Xenopus tropicalis: one gene and its partners. The protein of the gene in region 1 interacts with the protein of each later gene in a biochemical or structural test. Links are inferred from orthologs where the notes say so. Each region holds a gene or a part of one and is shown on either strand. Other genes may lie near its edges. The genes, in order: acta1, gsn and gc.

What was found.
Region 2: the proteins of acta1 (region 1) and gsn are reported together in a solved structure, tested with the Homo sapiens proteins (3 studies listed by BioGRID and IntAct). The link is inferred for Xenopus tropicalis from reciprocal best matches to the Homo sapiens genes ACTA1 and GSN.
Region 3: the proteins of acta1 (region 1) and gc are reported together in a solved structure, tested with the Homo sapiens proteins (2 studies listed by BioGRID and IntAct). The link is inferred for Xenopus tropicalis from reciprocal best matches to the Homo sapiens genes ACTA1 and GC.

The regions. Positions count from the first base shown.
Region 1 is NC_030681.2:57,887,739-57,891,755, forward strand, and holds the end of acta1 (actin, alpha skeletal muscle), read left to right. Parts: intron 1-522; coding exon 523-847; intron 848-1,165; coding exon 1,166-1,327; intron 1,328-2,220; coding exon 2,221-2,412; intron 2,413-2,496; coding exon 2,497-2,678; intron 2,679-3,051; coding exon 3,052-3,195; 3' UTR 3,196-3,455; downstream 3,456-4,017. UniProt on the Homo sapiens protein: Actins are highly conserved proteins that are involved in various types of cell motility and are ubiquitously expressed in all eukaryotic cells.
Region 2 is NC_030684.2:9,708,296-9,712,508, reverse strand, and holds the start of gsn (gelsolin), read left to right. Parts: upstream 1-1,285; 5' UTR 1,286-1,375; intron 1,376-4,213. UniProt on the Homo sapiens protein: Calcium-regulated, actin-modulating protein that binds to the plus (or barbed) ends of actin monomers or filaments, preventing monomer exchange (end-blocking or capping).
Region 3 is NC_030677.2:81,068,905-81,073,153, forward strand, and holds the start of gc (group-specific component (vitamin D binding protein) precursor), read left to right. Parts: upstream 1-1,442; 5' UTR 1,443-1,463; coding exon 1,464-1,521; intron 1,522-4,249. UniProt on the Homo sapiens protein: Involved in vitamin D transport and storage, scavenging of extracellular G-actin, enhancement of the chemotactic activity of C5 alpha for neutrophils in inflammation and macrophage activation.

The DNA of each region.
Region 1 (4,017 bases):
TGTCTCCAATTTGCCAGAGAAGAAAATTCAATCCCGACTTTGAAATAGCAATCAGACCAGTACCTGGATCAAGACAGCACAAATAGTAATACCAGTAGCCAGGCCTAGACTGACAATCTGAAAATTCTGGCAATGCCAGAGAGGCTGCTGTAACTTCCTTAGATTAGTGCTTTCTATTGGAGTATTGTGTAGATGTTTGTGTCTTTCTGTAAAGTATGGGAACCCTGATCTGGAAACCCTTTATCCATCAAGCTCTGAATTATGGGAAGGCCATCTCCCATAGAGTCCATTTTAATTCAAATGTTTTATAATTATTTCCAGTTCTATTTTCCATCGGTTTAATTATAGTTATTCAATCCAAAAATTTTCTATCAAAAATGTATTCCCCGACACGTATATCTTAGTGCATGTGTGTATGTGTGTGTACATGCACACACATAAGGGCATCTTACAGATTCTGGGATTTGGATATTATTGTTTCTTTGAAATCTTATGTACTGTATTCTTCTCTTTATTCATTAGGGTGTCATGGTTGGTATGGGTCAAAAGGACTCCTATGTAGGTGATGAAGCACAGAGCAAGAGAGGTATTCTTACACTAAAGTATCCAATTGAACATGGTATTATCACTAACTGGGATGATATGGAGAAGATTTGGCATCACACCTTCTACAATGAACTGCGTGTAGCCCCTGAAGAGCATCCCACCCTGCTTACTGAGGCTCCACTGAACCCTAAAGCTAACCGTGAAAAGATGACTCAAATAATGTTTGAGACTTTCAACGTCCCAGCTATGTATGTTGCAATCCAGGCAGTGCTTTCTCTATACGCCTCTGGCCGTACAACTGGTGAGAAGCAAACAGTGATATTAACTGATCTTTTCTTTAAATGCAGATAAGATATTCTTAACCAAGTAAGACTGTAAAAGTTTGACAAGACATTTGCCTCAATATATAAATTTGTCAGCTAATCCTACTAAAGAGATTTTAACTGAAATTATGAATCATTTTAGTTACTAATTTTCACAAAAAAATTAAAAATGCAATCTTTTCAATACTATAATATGTATTTTACATAGTTTTAAGAGCACACATACTAATATTTATGTTGCAAAAAAACATAATGGGCAGACATTGATTATTATCTCTCCTTCTTCATTTCTTTAGGGATTGTGCTCGACTCTGGGGATGGTGTGACACACAATGTACCAATTTATGAAGGGTATGCCTTACCCCATGCCATCATGCGCCTTGATTTGGCTGGCCGTGATCTTACTGACTACTTAATGAAAATTCTGACAGAACGTGGCTACTCTTTTGTCACCACTGGTAATACTAAAATATATGCTTTCATAATAAACACAGTGTTTTTATATCTATGACTTAAGCCAAACCCAGTTTTCACTTTTTGGCCTAGTATATATTTACCATCTGAATCTTTAAAACATTCTAGAAGTGTAACACACAGGTGCAATATTTAAACAATTAATTCCTGCAGTTTATTTACAAGAAAAAAATATAAAAACTGGCAACTTATTAATGTTACCATAAACTGTAAAGGATTCAGCGGCATGCAACTTTTGGCATTGTCTACATCTTATTTAACAATACTATAATTCTTATCTTACCACTACTGCACATTCATGATCAAATCTGCTTGATGATTATGTCCATTATCTTCAATCAGAATTTAAAATACCAAGCAGTCATTCTGATACCTGGCTGTCAAAAAATAGTCCTGACTGAAAAGAAATTTTTTAAAATCCATATTCAGTTCAAAACTGCTGAGAATCCTGAAATTCCCTATTTCCTTCTTTCACAAATCAGACCCAGACAATCTATCAATTTATTTAATTGTTGTGTGTTGTGTATGTGTGTTTGTGTGAACTACATTTATCAAGAGCTTACTTTAAGAAGAGATTGGATGGCTCTTTAGCAAGTGAGAAAATACAGGGTTACCAAAATTATCACTTAGTACAAGTTGATCCAGGGCTTGGTCCAATTGCCATCTTGGAGTCAGGAAGGAATTTTCCCCCTTCTGAGGCAAATTAAAAAGGCTCTTTTTTTGGCTTTCCTCTATCAACTAGTTATTTCATAAAGCCTAAAACAGTAGCACTCAGTGGACATGTGTCTGTTCTCATCCTAAATTATTTTGTACGTTACTATGTAATGAATTCATATGTAAGTGTTTGCTTTATTAAAAAAAAAATTCTAATTTCCAGCTGAACGTGAAATTGTTCGTGACATCAAGGAAAAACTCTGTTATGTGGCTCTGGACTTTGAGAATGAAATGGCCACTGCTGCCTCCTCATCTTCTCTAGAAAAGAGCTATGAACTGCCTGATGGTCAAGTTATAACCATTGGAAATGAACGTTTCCGTTGCCCAGAGACTCTCTTCCAACCATCATTTATTGGTGAGTATATCTGTATATCTTACAACGCAATACCAAATAAATGATTCAAGGTATCTTTAATATCTTTATGTTGCTATCTTTCAGGTATGGAATCTGCTGGTATTCATGAAACAACATACAACAGCATTATGAAGTGCGATATTGACATTAGAAAGGATCTCTATGCTAATAATGTGATGTCTGGAGGTACCACCATGTACCCAGGTATTGCTGACCGTATGCAGAAGGAGATTACAGCCCTGGCTCCCAGCACAATGAAAATCAAGGTAAGTTAGTCATCTTTATTACTGTATAAATAACCCATAAAGCCATACACTTACACAGCCGAAAACTTAAGACACAAACCATCTTATGCACACACCTATATATGAAGAAATCATTTCTTTTCAGTTAGAAATAAAATGTTTCGAAAACCATTATCTTTTACTGATTTTGCTTTTTAACTTTCTCCTTCTAACCTGAAGAAATCTACATAAATAGGTTACACCCACATATTGGTCATAAATACGTCCCTCATCTTTGTGCATATCCAAACTCTATATAGTTGGTTACATTCTGCAAAGCAAGCCACTTGTCTTGTACAGTATTTAAATTCTTAAATTCTGTGCTAATGAGTTGTGTATTTTTTTTTTCAATCAGATCATTGCTCCTCCTGAGCGTAAATATTCTGTCTGGATTGGTGGATCCATTCTGGCTTCCCTTTCAACTTTCCAGCAGATGTGGATTACAAAACAAGAATATGATGAAGCTGGTCCCTCTATTGTCCACCGTAAATGCTTCTAAATAGTTATGTTGATCTTTGCACTAATGACCAGACCTGCATTAATGTTCTTCAATACGGGCTGTTAAAATACCAAGGCACGAATGTAAATTCATCTGTAACACATTCTGTCATTGTTGCCTTATTGTCAGTGTCACTCAAGAAATATATAAAGTGTACATAAACTGTAATTTATTTCAAGATGTTTTATAACTGAAGCACTGATCTAACAGAAGCATCATGAAAATTTCCAACAATAATAAATTTATTATGCCAGTCCCCACTTGAGTCTTCCATTTTCATTTATTTGTGCAAATACTTTGTGTCAACAAAGACTTTAAATTAAAGGAAAGTTAATTTTAGCACATTAATAACATTAGCTGAATGCATAAACTGTGACATTTTCAGCTAAAAGCACAGAACAGAAGTTGTTGTCATTTAAAAATATATGAAATTTTTATGCAGTAAGTAAGTCTTCAGTATTAAGTACTTTAATTGAAAAGTAAACACTGTTATATGCTTTTGGTAGGGATAACAACCTGGGTGCAAATCAGATAAACAATGTAAATATGTAAAAAATGCTGATGCACACCAGGAAAATTTTATCAAAAAAAAGATACTTAGTTTATTTAGATCTAAATAAACTAAGTATCTTTTTTTTGATAAAATTTTCCTGGTGTGCATCAGCATTTTTTACATATATATATATATATGACATTTTTAAACTTACTCCAGAGTATAATGATATCCCCTTTTAGGCAGAACCATTAAAGTGTATTTTTCTATCTGAAATTGAGAAGTTAGCTCACAGTTCAACTCATTGCCCTCATTGTAAAACACATTTA
Region 2 (4,213 bases), on another chromosome or scaffold:
TGGTAGAAACAGTTATTAATTCATTAAAACAGCTGTAACCCATTGCGACCAATCAGCAGTCAGCTCTAAGCAGTCAGGCACAGGAATGCCAGTGAATGCCTGATTCTAATTGGCTGCTACGGCTGCAGGGACGCCAACGCGGCAGAAGTGAAAGACCATTACGTAACAGTGTTTTGGGGTGGGGGAGGGGCTAACTACATTGTTGAGTCACATGCCTTTAAAGCTAATTAGCATTCTCTCACCATTAATACAATTACATTCATTAACTTTAAAGGGGATGTTCACCTTAACCTTTAGTATAATGTGGAGAGTGACATGCTGAAACAATTTGCACTTGGTCTTCCTTTATTATTATATCTGGTTGCTAGGGTCCAAATGACCTTAGCAACAAAGCAGTGATGTGAGGAAAGGACCCGAATAGCAAGAAAAGTAATCAAATATAACCAGGGTCAGACTGGGGGGGAACAGGGCCCACCGGGGCTCCCGCCGGCCGCGTCTCCTAACCCCTCCCCCGGCAGGGGCCCCGCTAACCCCCCACGACATCCTCCCCTTAGCGCGTAAGTTTAACGCGTCAGGGGAGGAGCGGTCGGGCAGGGGGAGCGCCTGCATGGGTCATGTCTGGACCGCCGGGGGGTCAGTGACCCCCATTTGAAATAGTTGGAAGCAAAAGGTATATCATTCAGAAACTATATCAAATAAAAAAATGAAGACCAATTGCAAAGTTGCTACGAACTGGCCACTCGATAACATACTAATTTGAAGGTGAACCTCCCCTTTAACCTTTCGGTTGACTGCTCTACAGTTTCTCAGAGTTCCCTACAGCTGACGCTCGCCATGGAATTCTGGGATTTGTAGTCCTCCCCCCTCCCAGCAGTTTGACACCCCTGCTTTTGTTTTTCCCCACCCACTTGCTTTTGTTTTGCTGCATGCTCAGGTAGGTTGGCTCCCCAGAGGCTAGTGGGCACGTGGATGGTGGCCGGCTAGCAGCAAGAGCGAGCCACAGATGCAAAGGTCCCCTGGCCACCTGGCATGAGTAGCTGCTAGCCATGGGCAACAGGAACGCTGCCGGAGTTTGCTGTGTACCACCGGTGTGTGTGCTTTTCTATTCTCCTTCTACCCTTACCGGGGCATTTGCATGGAAGCTTCACCCTGGGGTATCTGCACTTTTTGCTACTGGCCACTAGGTGGCTAATTAAAGGGATGACACGCTGATGTCTCTGACCAGGTGAGCTCATTAGTTACCTGCTAAATTGCTCACTCACCTGTGAGACATCTAGGGAGCCGGGGAGGCCTGTGTGTCGGGGCCGAGGGATACAAGAACCATTGCTGCAAGCTCACTATCTATAGCCCAGAGTCCAACTGGCCCTCTGCAAAGGTACAAATCCACTCACTGGAGCACTTGTAGGGCAATGAAAGTTTGTTTTTGCCACTTTTTGTTATTGTGAGTTTGTAGAAATCACAATATATATAATTTCTGGGAGTTATAGTTCAGCGATGCAGTTTATGTTTCAGATGTTACAGCTCATATGGATCAGAGAAAGTATATTATATAATATATATAATATTGAGTATATTAAAGGGGTTGTTCACTTTTGAGGTTAACTGTTAGTATGATGTAGAGATTAATATTCTGGGACAATTTGCAATTGGTCTTCATTTTATTATGATTTGTAGTTTTTAAGTTATTTCATTTTTTGTTTAGGAGCTTGCCAGTTTGGAGTTTCAGCAGCTATTTGGTTGCTAGGGTCCAAGTTACCTTAGCAACCAGGAAGTGGTTGGGATGAGAGACTGGTTAATAATAATAATAATAATATTATACATTTATTTATAAAGTGCCAACATATCCCGCAGCGCTGTACAATAAGTGGGTTACATACATTGGACATACAGAGTAACATATAAAGCAACCAATAACCGATACAGGAGGGGAAGAGAGCCCTGCCCAAAAGAGCTTACACTCTACAAGGAGTAACATATAAAGCAATCAGTAACCGATACAGGAGGGGAAGGGAGCCCTGCCCAAAAGAGCTTACACTCTACAAGGAGTAACATATAAAGCAATCAGTAACCGATACAGGAGGTGAAGGGAGCCCTGCCCAAAAGAGCTTACACTCTACAAGGAGTAACATATAAAGCAATCAGTAACCGATACAGGAGGTGAAGGGAGCCCTGCCCAAAAGAGCTTACACTCTACAAGGAGTAACATATAAAGCAATCAGTAACCGATACAGGAGGGGAAGGGAGCCCTGCCCAAAAGAGCTTACACTCTACAAGGAGAAACATATAAAGCAATCAGTAACCGATACAAGAGGGGAAGAGAGCCCTGCCCAAAAGAGCTTACACTCTACAAGGAGTAACATATAAAGCAATCAGTAACCGATACAAGAGGGGAAGAGAGCCCTGCCCAAAAGAGCTTACACTCTACAAGGAGTAACATATAAAGCAATCAGTAACCGATACAGGAGGGGAAGAGAGCCCTGCCCAAAAGAGCTTACACTCTACAAGGAGTAACATATACAGCAATCAATAACTGATACAGGAGGGGAAGGGAGCCCTGCCCAAAAGAGCTTACACTCTACAAGGAGTAACATATAAAGCAATCAGTAACTGATACAGGAGGGGAAGGGAGCCCTGCCCAAAAGAGCTTACACTCTACAAGGAGTAACATATAAAGCAATCAATAACCGATACAGGAGGGGAAGGGAGCCCTGCCCAAAAGAGCTTACACTCTACAAGGAGTAACATATAAAGCAATCAGTAACCGATACAGGAGGGGAAGGGAGCCCTGCCCAAAAGAGCTTACACTCTACAAGGAGTAACATATAAAGCAATCAATAACCGATACAGGAGGGGAAGGGAGCCCTGCCCAAAAGAGCTTACACTCTACATATATGAATAGGAGAGGGGGTTAATAGAAAAGAAAGTTACCAAAAGTAACCATAAAAGTGCAGCCTCGCAGAGCAATAGTATTTTGGCTGCCGGGGTCAGTGACCCCTGTTTAAAAACTGCAAAGAGTTGGGAAAGGAAGGGAAATAATGAATAATAAAAAATAATGAAGACCAGCTGAAAAGATGTTTAGAATTAGCCATTCTATAACATACTTAAAGGTTAACCTCCCCTTTAACTGTGCCAGCATATAGGTGTATTTATAGGTCTATGGGGACTGCCATATTGTTCCCCTTGGGCTCCCGTTGTCCTTACAAGGCAAGACAAGCAGTATGGCAGCTTCTAATATTAGATATAAATACACGTGGAAGTGACTGCTCCATATAAAGGCGGCCATACGCAGGTCGCCAAACAAGCGGATCTTCTGATATGCTCACCTAAGGCAGGCGTTACTGGGCAAATGAGCCGTTGGGCGGAGGACCGCATCGGCTTGTTGATCCGAAGGGAAAATCAAACCTACCTGATTGAGATCTGCCCAATTTTAGACCAGTTATTAGTTGAGTACGCCTATCGGGCCTAAGGATGCTAATCTGCAGCTGAAATCTGCCCGTGTAAGGCCGCGGTAGGTATCTGGCAGTGTATATGTTACTGTGTTGGATGGATTAGGGGCAAGCTGTTTTGCAGCAGGGAAACTTGCCTTGTTCTCTCATTGTATGGCTGTTGTCAGGGTTGGCCTTAGGCCAATTAGACCTATCGGGCGCTATAGGACCCTGCATCAGGGGGAAAAAACATAAAACTGTTTAGCCCGCCCCCAACCATGATTGGCCGATAATGTTGATATGTGTTCTTGGACATTAAACACAAAGTGGGCACATACTGCTACCCCAGGGTACCCACTGTCTGTCACTGTGTATAGTGTGCCGGGGGGGGGGGGCAATAATCCCTGTCTCATTATGCTTGGTGTGTCAGTACCCTAGGGGGCCACATTGTGCCATGAAATGTTGGGGGCCAATGGAGCAAGAGAGGTGAAAGGGGGGTACTCAGTCAGTCAGAGAGCGAGAGGCAGGGACTATTTGCCCCCCCAGCCCTGGACCCTGTGCCAGCCCTGTGCCATTGGATTGTCGTATAGGTAACCAAGTATTTTAATTGCCTGTGATAAGTCCTGTGTTGTTTTTCTCAGGCCGGGGGAACCACTTCTGCTCTTTGTGCCGGGTTTGTCGGCTGTGGTTTTAGAACTGTACCGCGGAACTGCCACATTTTACACCATGTTGTCAAAACTTCCCTACTGCGACTTGTAATCACTGACACCCTGCCTGCAGGGGAAGTG
Region 3 (4,249 bases), on another chromosome or scaffold:
ATTCTGTGTACCATAGGCCTTAAATATTAATCTACTACTGCTTTCTTGGAATTCCAAGAGGCAGATTTATTAAAGCAGTTAGTGACTACACTTTTTTGTCATGAATGAGCGTATTTATTATAGCTGATTTGTATTTGACTTGTCTGTATTCTACAATAAGTTTCCTCAAGCTATAATGGTGTATAGTAAACTTACATAGGAGTGTAGGAACCCTTAGGGTTAAAAATCTCCTATGGCTTTAAACCCCTACAAGATTAGTTCCCTTACTTACTTGGCAGAATGAATTGTATCTATTTTAGTTTATTTACATGTGTATGCTATTGGATAGCAGGTGGGGTGGCCACTTAATATAGCTTTGGGACAAAGGTGGCACTTCCTCCTTGGCCTCCACCCATGTAACAGGGTGGATGTTGCTGGGAGCCTGGGATGTAGGACCCAGTAAGGAAAGGTCCCAAGAGTAGTTGGCCATTGGTGAAGTTCAGGATACAGGGACTCCTGGAATAAGGTGTTGTTAATGATAGGTTTTGCTTTATCAGAGTATGTACTAGAAACGTAAGATAGGAAGGGAAGCTAGTAACAACAGCTTGTGCTTCAGCAAGCATTGATAACTGAATGTAGCTCTCCCCTCAGGCAAGACTGCCCTGTAGTGTAGGGACCATAATACAGAACAGGGATTTAGGTTATGTGTTTTCCTTGATCTAGTGTGCGGATCCAGGCCATTGAGAGAGGCCCTGCTGATGTATCTAGAAACCTGACAGGCAGATCTCCAAAAGCGTATTACAAATTTGTGCTCCGTTGATTACTACCCCAAAAGGATATGTGAGTAACCCTGTGTTGTGAATAAACTTTCTTTCTTCTTTGGTTTGCAAGAACCTCTGCCACCCTGTTTGTTCTTATTTTCTATATAGCAGCATGGGAGGTGCAGTCTCCTCTTTAACTTAACGAAGGCCCATTCTGGGTAAGAGAGTCCAGTGTGACCCATGTTCTACAGGTACTAGTCTGGGAAGGGGCAGTTGAGCCAATTATAAAAGTCACAGGAGTAATGGAAGGCTGTAATGCAAGGCTGTTTATTGGCTAAGAATTCTCATAGTAGCTGGAAGGGTGCTTAAGGTATTTTTAAATGTATGTAGTATTATTATTATTATTATTTTAGTTATTATTATTATGGTATATGAAAAACAAAAAACCCAAAAAGTAAAATTAATTATCCATGAACCCATTAACCAATGCTGGGTTAGTTTCCTTTTATTAATGATTGACTGAATGACTGAATTTGCAGAAAGGTTCCCTTTGCATATTTGTATTTTGCTGTCTTTTTTTGTTTATTCTAAATCAAAGGTCAGGGCTGAGCTTGCCTTGCCTAATGCTTAAATTAATGATTTATTACAATAATATATAAATATGTAGAACTATCTGTTGGTGCATTTGTAAGCACATTGTCTGGCAGCACAAATCATTGAAAAATGAGGAGATTAATTGTTCTACTGCTAGCCATATCCATGAATTATGCAGATGAGAGAGGTAATGTACATATGCAATATATAGATATTTACTTATAAATGTATTTATATAGGCTCTGGCTTTTTACTAAAAAGTGTTCAGCTAGACATAGGCTTTGTGAAAAGTCTGTTATTCCATATGTGAATGCAGCTTATAGGTTAGTGTTTGTCTTTTGTGCTTGTTTCTGACATAGTGATAACTGTCTAATGGGTTGTCAGGGCATTATATATCAACTGTTGCTTTAAAACGAAATGCTTGCTTTCTAGGAATAGAGAGAGACAAAAATATAAAGGTGGGCAAATTTGAATTGGGTGGGCAAATTTGAAATCTGCATTGTCCTTACTTATTGAAGTCAATGAGACTAATTCAGGCTGTAAATAATTTCTGGTATCAAACGTTCTATGTAAAATGCTGTTTAAAAAAGCACAGCAATTTGAACATTTTTGGAGAAGCTATAAAGTTGCTAGGTTACACAGAATGTGCAGTGCTACTGGAGCTGCTTTATACATTTGTGTACGGAATTATTTGCCACTTTACTGCACTGTAACTGTTTCCCTTGAACAGTTAGCAGCAAATGTGCAGCCAGCTACTGGGAAATTGTAAATGTAGGGCCAAATTTATTAAAATGTGTATTATGCATACATTGCGTACATTTCTGACAAAGTGCACTGTTTTGCATTAAGCATTGAATGTATTACAAAGCATGAAGTACCCTCAGAGAAGCTGACGTGACAGTTACTCAACCCATCAATCTGCTAGCTAGCTAGTTAATTTAGGCATATGGTGCAAAGAAGTGTATCTGACAGTGTTGCAGCTCTTCTCACTTACACATTTGCCAATGCGCCATGCATGCCTAAATTGACAGATAAAATATCAGTTTGTACAAACCAGCAAAGATCTGAGTAGGATTAACAAACAGTCTAAGAAAACTGCCACTATCCAACCCCCTGAGTGCTCTACATGCCCAGATGATAGGGAAATATGGCCAATAATAGCCATGCAGGGCTATTGGCTAGTTTTATTGACACAAGTTTTTCACCATTTTCTCATTGTATGTTCATCTGCAATGTTTTTTGGGACCTTTATACAGGTATAGGATCCAATATCTGGAAACCTGTTATACAGAAGCTCTGAATTACAGGCCATCTCTCATAGACTCCATTTTAATCAAATCATTTTTTTAAAAATGTATTTCCCTTTTCTACATACATAGTAACATAGTAACATAGTAACATAGTAAGTTGGGTTGAAAAAAGACATACGTCCATCACGTTCACCCATAATGACTATATATATAACCTGCCTAACTACTTTCTCTGTAATAATAAAACAGTACCTTGTACTTGACCCCGGCTAAGCTAACAATTAATCCTTATTGGAGGCAAAACAATCCTATGGGTTTATTTATTGTTTAAATAATGTTTTATTAGACTTCAGGTACGAAGATTCAAGTTATGGAAGGATCTCTTATCTGGAAAATTCCAGGTTCCAAGCATCCTGGATAACAGGTCCCATATCTGTACTAAGGACACATTCAAATGCTTCAGTTTTGCTGCAAAACTGTTGCCTGCTGAGTATGCAGAAATATTACACCTCTGTCCCAAAAGATTCTAAAACTGTATTATGAGTTTTTCTGTGGGGGCCCTTGTTTCAAATCAAATTTGTCTAATTTCATACAACGAAGGAGAAGACCTTATACCATTTGCTATACATTTATATCTATTGTAAACTGTATTTTACCATAGTTTGTGGAATATTGAAGGGACAAAGGATGACTGCTATAATTTATATTTGTTTGGCAGCATGCTGCTCTCTGCAGTAATTTTTACCTTGTATAATATACCTGTAAATTCCAAACCCCTAGCAGTAATTGTCTTTTTTATATTGCATTACAGTGCCTAGCTGTTTTACAATGATTTGTATACTGTGCCAATGAGAGCACAAGATAAGAAAGCAATGTTGATATCAGGCACAAAGACACGATTCTGCTGTGACCCTATTTCTATTCAAGGCAGAGGCACACGAAAGGGATTATCTGCTTTTATCTGCCTGAATTTTTTTTACCTAGGCGGATTGTCCCAGGCGGATTTCTTCATATGCTCCATCTTGTAGCTCCATTCACAGGTATAGCATCAGCCTGCGTGGAGCTACATGGAATGCTGGAATGCAAAAGTATGCATTTTTGCACTAATATCTGCTCCATGTAGCTTCACACAGGGCAATGTCATGCCTGTGAATGGAGCTACAAGAAGGAGCACAAGACAGTGGAATCTTTTGCCAGTCACAATTCTTCTCTTTTCTGGCATCTTCTTACCAAGTCACTGTCTACAGATGGAGTGCACAAAAGAAAATTTGTATTTGGATCAGTTATTATGAACCTACTTATCACAGTCATAGCTGGCACTTAAATAGAAGAAAATGCAGTTTATGCCAAGCACGCCAGGCTCATACTTGCTAAAGCTTAGGAATCTGATGTTACCCTTAAAACCACTTTGTCACCAAACTGTACACCTGCTCTGTGCAGTCAATATAAGTTTTTATCAAAGCATGAACTCCTTCTTTTCTATTATTTATTTTCAATATTGTTCTCAAATGATTCTTTTTAACTCAGAAATAGTTTTAAATTAGAATTAAGGTTGAAAGAGATTCATAGTTTTTACAGTTCTTTTCATAAGTATCAAGGGAAAACAAAAATGTTTTAAGACTCTATCTTTATCTTACGTCTGAAAACCATTATATTCAGAAGGAA